Arabidopsis thaliana: one gene and its partner. The protein of the gene in region 1 interacts with the protein of each later gene in a pairwise test. Each region holds a gene or a part of one and is shown on either strand. Other genes may lie near its edges.

Region 1 (4,908 bases):
AAATTGATGCGATAGACATTCTTTTGCTGATTTGTATGCTATAGGTTTTCAAATCTCTAGCTACACTTATGTATTTCCCTAGATTATCAAAGTTAGCCTGCCGTTTTCTAATTTTATTATTTGATATTTTGATTATACTGCTTCTTAATGCATCAAATAAGTTGATTCATCCATCTAATATTTTAACTACATCAAATGAAGTCTTTTATAAGTACAGGCACTAATTGAACTTGAACCCTATAAAATACATGAATAATCACAAAGAATTGATAGTGTTCTTTCAGTTTTTCAATCACAAAGAACTCACCGACATTATCAAGTTGACTTCACTTTTAGACTTAATTGGTGTTCTGGAGGATCCACAAAACTACTATTACACAGTTTTCACAAAATTGTGATTCTTTATTTTTTATTTTCTTTGGTCAAACTAACATTTCATTCAACTTTAAACGAGAGTTGCCTCCACGTGGAGAGTATACACAAAAAGCTACGAGGACAAATGCTCAAACAAAAAGACATAAGAAGGGGAGCTCAGAAGCTCAACCCGAGTAGCAGCATCCAAAGTTGCTAAAACAGAACCATCATTTACTTCTGAGGCGGTCTTCGTACCAAGCTCCTTCAGCAAAATTGTGATTCTATGTTTGGATATCATGAGATCTAACTACAAAGTTTTTAATAACAAAAACTTACCATTCTCTAATTTGTAGTCAAAGCTAAACAAATTTCATACTAAAACAATTTTACTGTGTTGTTATGGATGCATATTTTTCTCACTTTATAGTACTATTTTACTATTGATAAGATGAAAAAAAAGTTGAGGTACAATAGTAGTAAAATAGCATCATTCTTTTTCTGTAGAATCTCTCTGGTCAATGGTCTTTTTAGTTTAAAAACTGAATAATGTTCTCTCTCACACAGTAAAAAACAAAGAGAGAGAGAAAGAAGAGAAGAAGACAAAAATGTAGGCATTAAAAAGAAGAAAAAGACAAAGAGAAAAGTAATGAAAAGACAATGAACATTTAAAGAAGACAGACAAATCCCACACCCAAGCCTCAGCCTCATCTCTTTTATTGTTATTTGTTTTTCTAACAAAACAACAAAAACAAAAGAGATGGTTTTTGGGTTTTGTTTTGTCTTTGTTAGGGCGTGTTTGGACGTTTCCTTCTTCTCAGAATCAATATTTTACCAAAACAGCTTTCTTTTTTTCTCTTTAACAATTTTTTTGATGTAGAAATATATAGTCATGATTCCAAATCCACCTCATGCCATGACAAAAACCCATAAAAGTGGAGGTTCCAATCTCGAATACAGACATATATGTTGTATTCGTGTATGTATCTATTATAAGATAATTCCAATTTGTATAATGCCAAATGGGTTCATTGAACTTCTTCTTCCTTCATAATTAAGTGTTGCTTTTTCTTCTTAGTTCCTCTAAATCAAGAAAATTCTAGGTGAAACTTCTCTTATCTTGACTTTATATAAAATAATAACTATAAAAATAATCAATAAGACTAATTCCTACAAGTCTTACAAATTTAAAAGAAAATGAAAATGCAACATTAGCTAATACACATAATAGTATAAGATTGATGGATGTATTCTTATTCAGTTTTATTTATAAATGCAACATAAGCTAATACACTCTCATTCAGTTTTATTTATTAATGTTACACCACTTTAAGAGCACTCAAAATCAAAATACGTATTCTTATATGATATTCATTCATGTAGTACTAGTACACATAATAGTATAAGATAGATGGATGGGATTGGAAAATTTGACAACCTTTTGTTTAATAATTCCTTAAAACCAAGGAAAGAAGAAAGAGGAAACGAAAAAAACAAAAAGGAAGAAGACAAAACCGACTATCACGCATTGTCTGGTACGTAGAGCCAAAAGGAACAATGCCTCTGTTTTAGTGTTTTCTTTCTTAAAGTTTTTTCCCAAAACACAAACAACATTTCACACACACGCTATTACTCACAAGATAACCACCAGAGACGTGGATAGAGAGATAAAGATTGAGAGAACCCTCTCACTCCCAAAAAAAAAGCTTTAGACATTTTCTCTAAATCCATGTAAGTTTTTTTCTTTGGTTATTGTTGTTTGTTATCTTCTTTGATCATTTGCTATTATTTTGTTTTGTTTCTTTCTTAGTTTATCAAATTAGGAAAGTTTTAATTCAGCTCTCTGTTTGTGTTTCTTCGTCTATATCTATTTCAAATAGTTTAACTAGATTCAAAGGTTTTTAAAATTCAGTACTTTCTCTGCAAACCCTAGTTCCTCTGTTCTTTAACCCCCTTTTTTGTTAAACTGCAGATTCTCTGCATCTTTCAAGAAATTCCGAATCGTGGGTTTGGTTCTTCTCGTTACGAGTCTCTCAAAGTTTAAATCTTTCTTTACAAAAAAGGTTACTTTTGGTTCTGAGTAAATCAAAATCAAGCTTTTGGCCTTCAATGGTGGCTATGTTTCAAGAAGATAATGGAACATCTTCTGTAGCTTCATCACCACTTCAAGTCTTCTCAACTATGTCACTCAACAGACCGACTCTCCTCGCTTCTTCATCTCCGTTTCATTGTCTCAAAGATCTCAAACCAGAGGAGCGTGGTCTCTACTTAATCCACCTCTTGCTAACTTGTGCCAACCACGTGGCTTCAGGTAGCCTCCAAAACGCTAACGCAGCGCTCGAGCAGCTCTCTCACCTCGCTTCTCCTGACGGCGACACGATGCAGCGAATCGCTGCTTACTTCACCGAAGCGCTTGCTAACAGAATCCTTAAGTCCTGGCCTGGTCTTTACAAGGCTCTTAACGCAACTCAGACAAGAACTAACAATGTCTCTGAGGAGATTCATGTTAGAAGACTCTTCTTTGAGATGTTCCCGATACTCAAAGTCTCTTACTTGCTCACTAATCGAGCTATACTCGAGGCTATGGAAGGAGAGAAGATGGTTCATGTGATTGATCTCGATGCTTCTGAGCCAGCTCAATGGCTTGCTTTGCTTCAAGCTTTTAACTCTAGGCCTGAAGGTCCACCTCATTTGAGAATCACTGGTGTTCATCACCAGAAGGAAGTGCTTGAACAAATGGCTCATAGACTCATTGAGGAAGCAGAGAAACTCGATATCCCGTTTCAGTTTAATCCCGTTGTGAGTAGGTTAGACTGTTTAAATGTAGAACAGTTGCGGGTTAAAACAGGAGAGGCCTTAGCCGTTAGCTCGGTTCTTCAATTGCATACCTTCTTGGCCTCTGATGATGATCTCATGAGAAAGAACTGCGCTTTACGGTTTCAGAACAACCCTAGTGGAGTTGACTTGCAGAGAGTTCTAATGATGAGCCATGGCTCTGCAGCTGAGGCACGTGAGAATGATATGAGTAACAACAATGGGTATAGCCCTAGCGGTGACTCGGCCTCATCTTTGCCTTTACCAAGTTCAGGAAGGACTGATAGCTTCCTCAATGCTATTTGGGGTTTGTCTCCAAAGGTCATGGTGGTCACTGAGCAAGACTCAGACCACAACGGCTCCACACTAATGGAGAGGCTATTAGAATCACTTTACACCTACGCAGCATTGTTTGATTGCTTGGAAACAAAAGTTCCAAGAACGTCTCAAGATAGGATCAAAGTGGAGAAGATGCTCTTCGGGGAGGAGATCAAGAACATCATATCCTGCGAGGGATTTGAGAGAAGAGAAAGACACGAGAAGCTTGAGAAATGGAGCCAGAGGATCGATTTGGCTGGTTTTGGGAATGTTCCTCTTAGCTATTATGCGATGTTGCAGGCTAGGAGATTGCTTCAAGGGTGCGGTTTTGATGGGTATAGAATCAAGGAAGAGAGCGGGTGCGCAGTAATTTGCTGGCAAGATCGACCTCTATACTCGGTATCAGCTTGGAGATGCAGGAAGTGAATGATATATTACAGTTTGTCTTCTATTTTGGTTATGAGCAGAGTCCCTTTCTTTTTTGTATACATGGGGACACAATCTTAGTTGTTTTGTGATGGTGACTTTCTGTCTCTTTATGCTATTTTGGCTTAAATGCTTCTACTGCCTCTGCATGTAAAGCCTTTGTGTGTTGGTTCAATTTGGTCTGGTGTGGGTGTAATACCAAACCAAATCCAATTTGAGCTGAAGATAACTAATTTGATGATCGGTTCAAGTTCAGAACTCCAAATTCTTTCAGAGACCAGCCAAACTTTGCCTATCTTTAAGCAGGTGATCTTGTCATTTGTGTATTGTAAATAACTTAAACTCGGTATATATATTTAGGTTACTAAAGGACATGTTCACTATCCAAAGAGTATACGACTTATCTGCTGTCCAAATACTTTGTAACCTAAAGTTCACGTGCTTCATTTACATTGAATCTAGTTTAACCTAATCTTCTTGCTTCATTTATATTTGAATTTTGTTTAAGCAATCTAGTCTTTATCTTGTCTTAGCAAATTCACAGAGTGTTTCTCATGCAAAAGTGTTGCATGATCAAAACACCTTGATAATAAGATTGAAAGAGTAATGTGATCCCAAAAGGAAAGAAGATCTCGGATGAACTGATTCAGAAAAAGTATATACTCTGATGTTATATATACTATGAGACAACAGCTAAGTTATTTACATATTTCCTCATTTCAAATCTGTGAACCTGAAGAACACAAGAATGCAGCTCATGATCAAAATTCTGAAAGAAGCGAAACTTCGCCAACCCAAGATTTAAGAACAGCTACACCATGAATAGATATTTGAGATCATCAACTGTTAATCGAGTTGCAGAGCTTCCACCATGATCTTCACCAAAGGCAGACGCAACCATTTTTCTTTTCTCTTCCTATAATAATAACCAAAAATCACACAACCACAAATGAGAGAAACTGAGGGGGGAAACAAGTATCAGCTATAAGGGATCTTTAC
Region 2 (4,373 bases), on another chromosome or scaffold:
AGCAGCAATGGTGATCTTTGGAGCAATTGATGAACTTCTTGCAGCGACCAAAATCAATGTGAAGCATATCAAGATCCTGGTGCTAAACTGCGGAGTCCTCAACACCACGCCATCTCTATCGGCCATGGTGATTAACCATTATAAGCTGAGGCATAACACAGAGAGCTACAATCTTGGTGGTATGGGGTGTAGCGCCGGAGTCATAGCCATTGATTTAGCCAAAGATCTTTTAAACGCTCATCAAGGCTCTTACGCTTTGGTGGTGAGCACTGAGATAGTAAGCTTCACTTGGTACTCAGGTAATGACGTCGCGTTGCTTCCACCAAATTGCTTCTTTCGAATGGGAGCAGCTGCAGTTATGCTATCTAGTCGGCGTATCGACAGATGGCGAGCCAAATACCAACTTATGCAGGTGAGAAGAACAAAGAAACACTCTGATTTACTCTTGCTCTGTTCTTTGTTTTGACTGATGACATTGTAACTGGTGAATAAAACAGCTAGTAAGAACCCATAAAGGCATGGAAGACACAAGTTACAAGAGCATAGAGTTAAGAGAAGACAGAGATGGGAAACAAGGACTATATGTATCTAGAGATGTAATGGAAGTTGGGCGCCATGCACTGAAAGCAAACATTGCAACGCTTGGTCGTCTTGAGCCTTCCTTTGAACATATATGCGTATTAGCATCGAGTAAGAAAGTACTTGATGACATTCATAAGGATCTCAAGTTGACAGAAGAGAATATGGAGGCATCAAGACGGACATTGGAGCGTTTCGGGAACACATCAAGCAGCAGTATATGGTACGAGCTGGCTTACCTAGAACACAAGGCGAAGATGAAAAGAGGAGATAGGGTTTGGCAAATCGGTTTCGGGTCAGGGTTTAAATGCAATAGTGTTGTATGGAAAGCCCTAAAAAACATTGACCCTCCAAGACATAACAACCCATGGAATCTCTGAGGATTCATCAAAGTTAACAATTGTATGATAACATGAATAAAATAACCCACCAATGCAAAATCCACAATTTATTCAAATAGTGTGATTGCATTTGAACATATCCCTGATGCTAGGATCTTACATTAATAAGGTAAACAAACAATAAAGAGACGCAATCTACTCTTGATTTACTCATCTGTTTCAGTAGCTAAAAACTGAGCTTAATTATGCACATAAGGATGAGACGTTGCAACCTTTTTATATATATTATGCAACAGACATGAAGTTGAAGAATGACATACTGTAGGAGCAAAAGTTGCAACCATGGAAAAAGCTAAAAATTGAAGCTTTGTAATGTTCCATTCTCTTACACAAAGATGCTACTATCTGGAGCCACTAGACCCTCAAGTTTCCATCCACCAGGCCCGGACAGCGCAAAAGCCTGTGATGGCCAAAAGAAAGAATTAGCTCCAAATCAAAGAAAAAGCGAGCTCATGCATATCTGAAAAAAGGATTGAATCAACAAACTTCTTCCCAGGAGTTGCCAAAAGCCTGAAGCAAAGCAGCATTGCATGTTTTCAACTTAATAGAAGCTCCAGAGAGCATGGAAGCTGCTTCTTCCCAACCCTTATTATGCCCCATACACCTATATGTATCAATCAAATAAGAAATGATAACACAGCACAAGTAAGATGAAGCAAAAAAGATTGATGAGAAACTAACATGATAGTGGAGATATCAGGGGTTGAATATTTGGAGATAATGTTTTGAAGATGCTCGGCTGTTTGGCCATCCATAGCAGCAATGGAGTAAAAGCTAGGAATGAAATGTACATTTGCCTCCATAAACCCATCTACTTGAGCCTGCATCGACTTCAGTGTCTCTCTAGTCCGAGTGGCGTCGCTGTGAAGTGAATGATTTCAACAATTCTCAATCACGAAATGAAAAACAAAACTGATAATTTGAAGAAGGAACTTACCTTGAGAGAATAAGTTGGGGAAGCCAACCGAGTGAGGAGAGGATTTGAGCTACTTTGGCAGCATCTGCTTCTCCGGTTTTACTTAGAGGACGATCATGGTCTATCGTTAAGACACAGACAGAGAGAAAGAGAGACATTAAAGATTTGATTTTTCGATTTTGAGCGAGAAAGAGGAGAATCAGAGTACCTCTGAGGGAAAGATCATCCCAGGAACTGTGAGCGTGACGGAGAAGGATAAGACGGCGAGAGATTGAGGTCGACGGAGAAGCAGCGAAGTCACTGACCGCACGAAGTGGAGCCGTGGAGCAAGAATTGGTGCTCCGATTTGGGACGGAGATGAAGAAAGGAGGAAGACACTGCAAGCTAAGCATCTCTGGCTTGATTTTTAGTTAAAGAAAGGTAATTTCTTTATTTCTAATCCTTCGCCGTGAAATTTAAAGATAAGATCGGTACTCAGTTGTTCCAAGGTAGAAGTAAGGACCCAGAGAGAAAAAGTTTTGAACTTGAGACCTCTGAGGAACCGTTGGTCGAGATTTTGATCAGTTTGCCAACGAAAGTCCAATGAGAATCAAGTGCTTCTCGAAGCTCTGGTTCTTCCTCATCGAACAAGGACCGTTGCAAATTTGCAATCAACTTACAACATAACAAGCAACAGAAGAGCTACAGAAGTAGACACTAAATTAAGAAATTTTGAGTGACCAAAGCTCACAAGTCACACAAGTAGCAATTTTACATTGTATGATACATTTATGGAAAGGAAACTTGGTGGAGATAAATTTAGCTTGGGGATCTTCATTATCATCCCTACCTCTGAATTGGATGTAGCATGACTTGTTCATGTCATTGGAGTTCTCTGTTTACACTGCCTAGAAACAAGATTACCACAACTATAAGCTTTTGAAAAGATATGGTTTCATTTTCAACTTAGAATGAATACAAGATGATACACTAAGCTCTAATGATTTGCATTACAAAAACTCTTCAAAGCGATTCTTTTCACATTCTTTATGATCCAATAGGCTAAGCCTTATTCACCCGAATCTTCTGTCCTTCCAGCAACTGCATTTTAAAACCAACAACAAAATGAGACAAAAAGATTATGCACACTCTATAGTCGAAGAAGATGGAACAGTTGAGAGATACTTACCGAATTGTTAAGAGCAACAATGGCTGCTTCCACATCTTCTTCAGAAGAAAACGTAACGAATCCAAACCCGGTGGATTTGGAAGTTCCAGGTACTCTTGAAACCTTAGCACTTACTACTTTCCCTTTCTCAGAAAACAAATTCTCAAGCATCTCTTTTGTAACAGTCTTTGCTAGATTCCCAACATACACTTTGTAAGGGCTATCTACAAATGCTGAATCCTCAGACTGAAGAACTGATAAATCAGGTGATGATGCTATAGGTTTCTCTGTAATGTTAACCTTTATCTCACGCCCTTCAACGGTCTGAGAAACCAAAAACAAGCTCTGTCATATTCAGAACTAAAATGTATAGAACGAAGCAGTTAAGGGTTCAAAAACTTACATTGCCATTCAATTTCTCAACCACAGCATTAGCATCTTCAACTGATTTCATTGTAGCAAACCCAAATCGACGGCTTCTTCCTGAATACTTATCATACATCACCTGATGATATCAACACAACATCAAATAACAAATCTTGATGATAACTAACTAAGAAATAATAGAAGAAGGAGATGTTATGAATAAAAACCTGAACTTTTTCAACAGCACCGTGTTCTTCAACAAGTTTAGTGAGCTGCTCATTGGTCACCGTCCTGGGTATGTTACCGATATACACACGCCTGGCAGCTTCTGAACTAGGGTCCAAAGCGGCGGGTTTTTCTTCCGTCTCCGTTACAGCATAAGGAATGAATCTCGTTCTAGAGCTCCGGGAGAAAGTTCCAGCGAGAGAAGGAAAGGGTTTCGAGGAGAATACATTGACCCGTGTATGCAAAGGAGTGAAGGATTCGGACTGGAATGAGAAGATTGTAGGTTTGATTGAAACAACATTTGTTAGGAAAGTCGCCATTGTAGCAGGAGAGTGTAGGTGTCGATAAGGAAGAAGTTGCGAGTGTCGTCAACATTATCCATTAGCCGTCCTCACTTCTAACCTGTGTGGATAATTGGGCCTTATTAAGGCCTATAATTTGGGCCTAGAAACATTACCCATTTACCCGTCTCTCACGCCGCAGACTTAAACTTAAATGGGTTGATATACACTTAGGTACTTGTTCGGGTTACGCCTGACCACTGTTTTGGCCAGTGACAACATCACTACAGGCCACTGTTCATCTTCATCATTGATGGAAGATGAACATAAATGAAGTATGTGATGATCATTAATGGTTGATCGAAATTGATGTATCCACTCCATGATTCTTCGTTGTTAGTCGAGTTCAATCTAGTGTCCCTCTAAAGTCTAGACTCTAGAGACACAAGAAGCCAAGT

The links. Proteins that work in one complex are often made in the same cells at the same time.
Region 2: the proteins of SCL3 (region 1) and AT3G52155 interact in binary tests that used the Arabidopsis thaliana proteins (3 or more experiments, as listed by UniProt).

Annotation. Positions count from the first base shown.
Region 1 is NC_003070.9:18,677,178-18,682,085, reverse strand, and holds SCL3 (scarecrow-like 3), read left to right. Parts: upstream 1-1,785; 5' UTR 1,786-2,082; intron 2,083-2,323; 5' UTR 2,324-2,460; coding exon 2,461-3,909; 3' UTR 3,910-4,392; downstream 4,393-4,908. Other genes in the region: AT1G50410 (SNF2 domain-containing protein / helicase domain-containing protein / zinc finger protein-like protein), read right to left, coding at 4,721-4,825. UniProt on the Arabidopsis thaliana protein: Probable transcription factor involved in plant development.
Region 2 is NC_003074.8:19,341,655-19,346,027, reverse strand, and holds AT3G52155 (Phosphoglycerate mutase family protein), read right to left. Parts: upstream 2,334-4,373; 5' UTR 2,289-2,333; coding exon 2,105-2,288; intron 2,072-2,104; exon of another isoform or gene 2,055-2,071; coding exon of another isoform or gene 2,018-2,054; coding exon 1,918-2,017; intron 1,842-1,917; coding exon 1,662-1,841; intron 1,585-1,661; coding exon 1,467-1,584; coding exon of another isoform or gene 1,458-1,466; exon of another isoform or gene 1,381-1,457; coding exon 1,310-1,380; coding exon of another isoform or gene 1,306-1,309; exon of another isoform or gene 960-1,305; coding exon of another isoform or gene 819-959; coding exon 815-818; downstream 1-814. Other genes in the region: KCS15 (3-ketoacyl-CoA synthase 15), read left to right, coding at 1-412, 498-959; PSRP2 (RNA-binding (RRM/RBD/RNP motifs) family protein), read right to left, coding at 2,938-2,976, 3,065-3,367, 3,447-3,548, 3,637-3,954.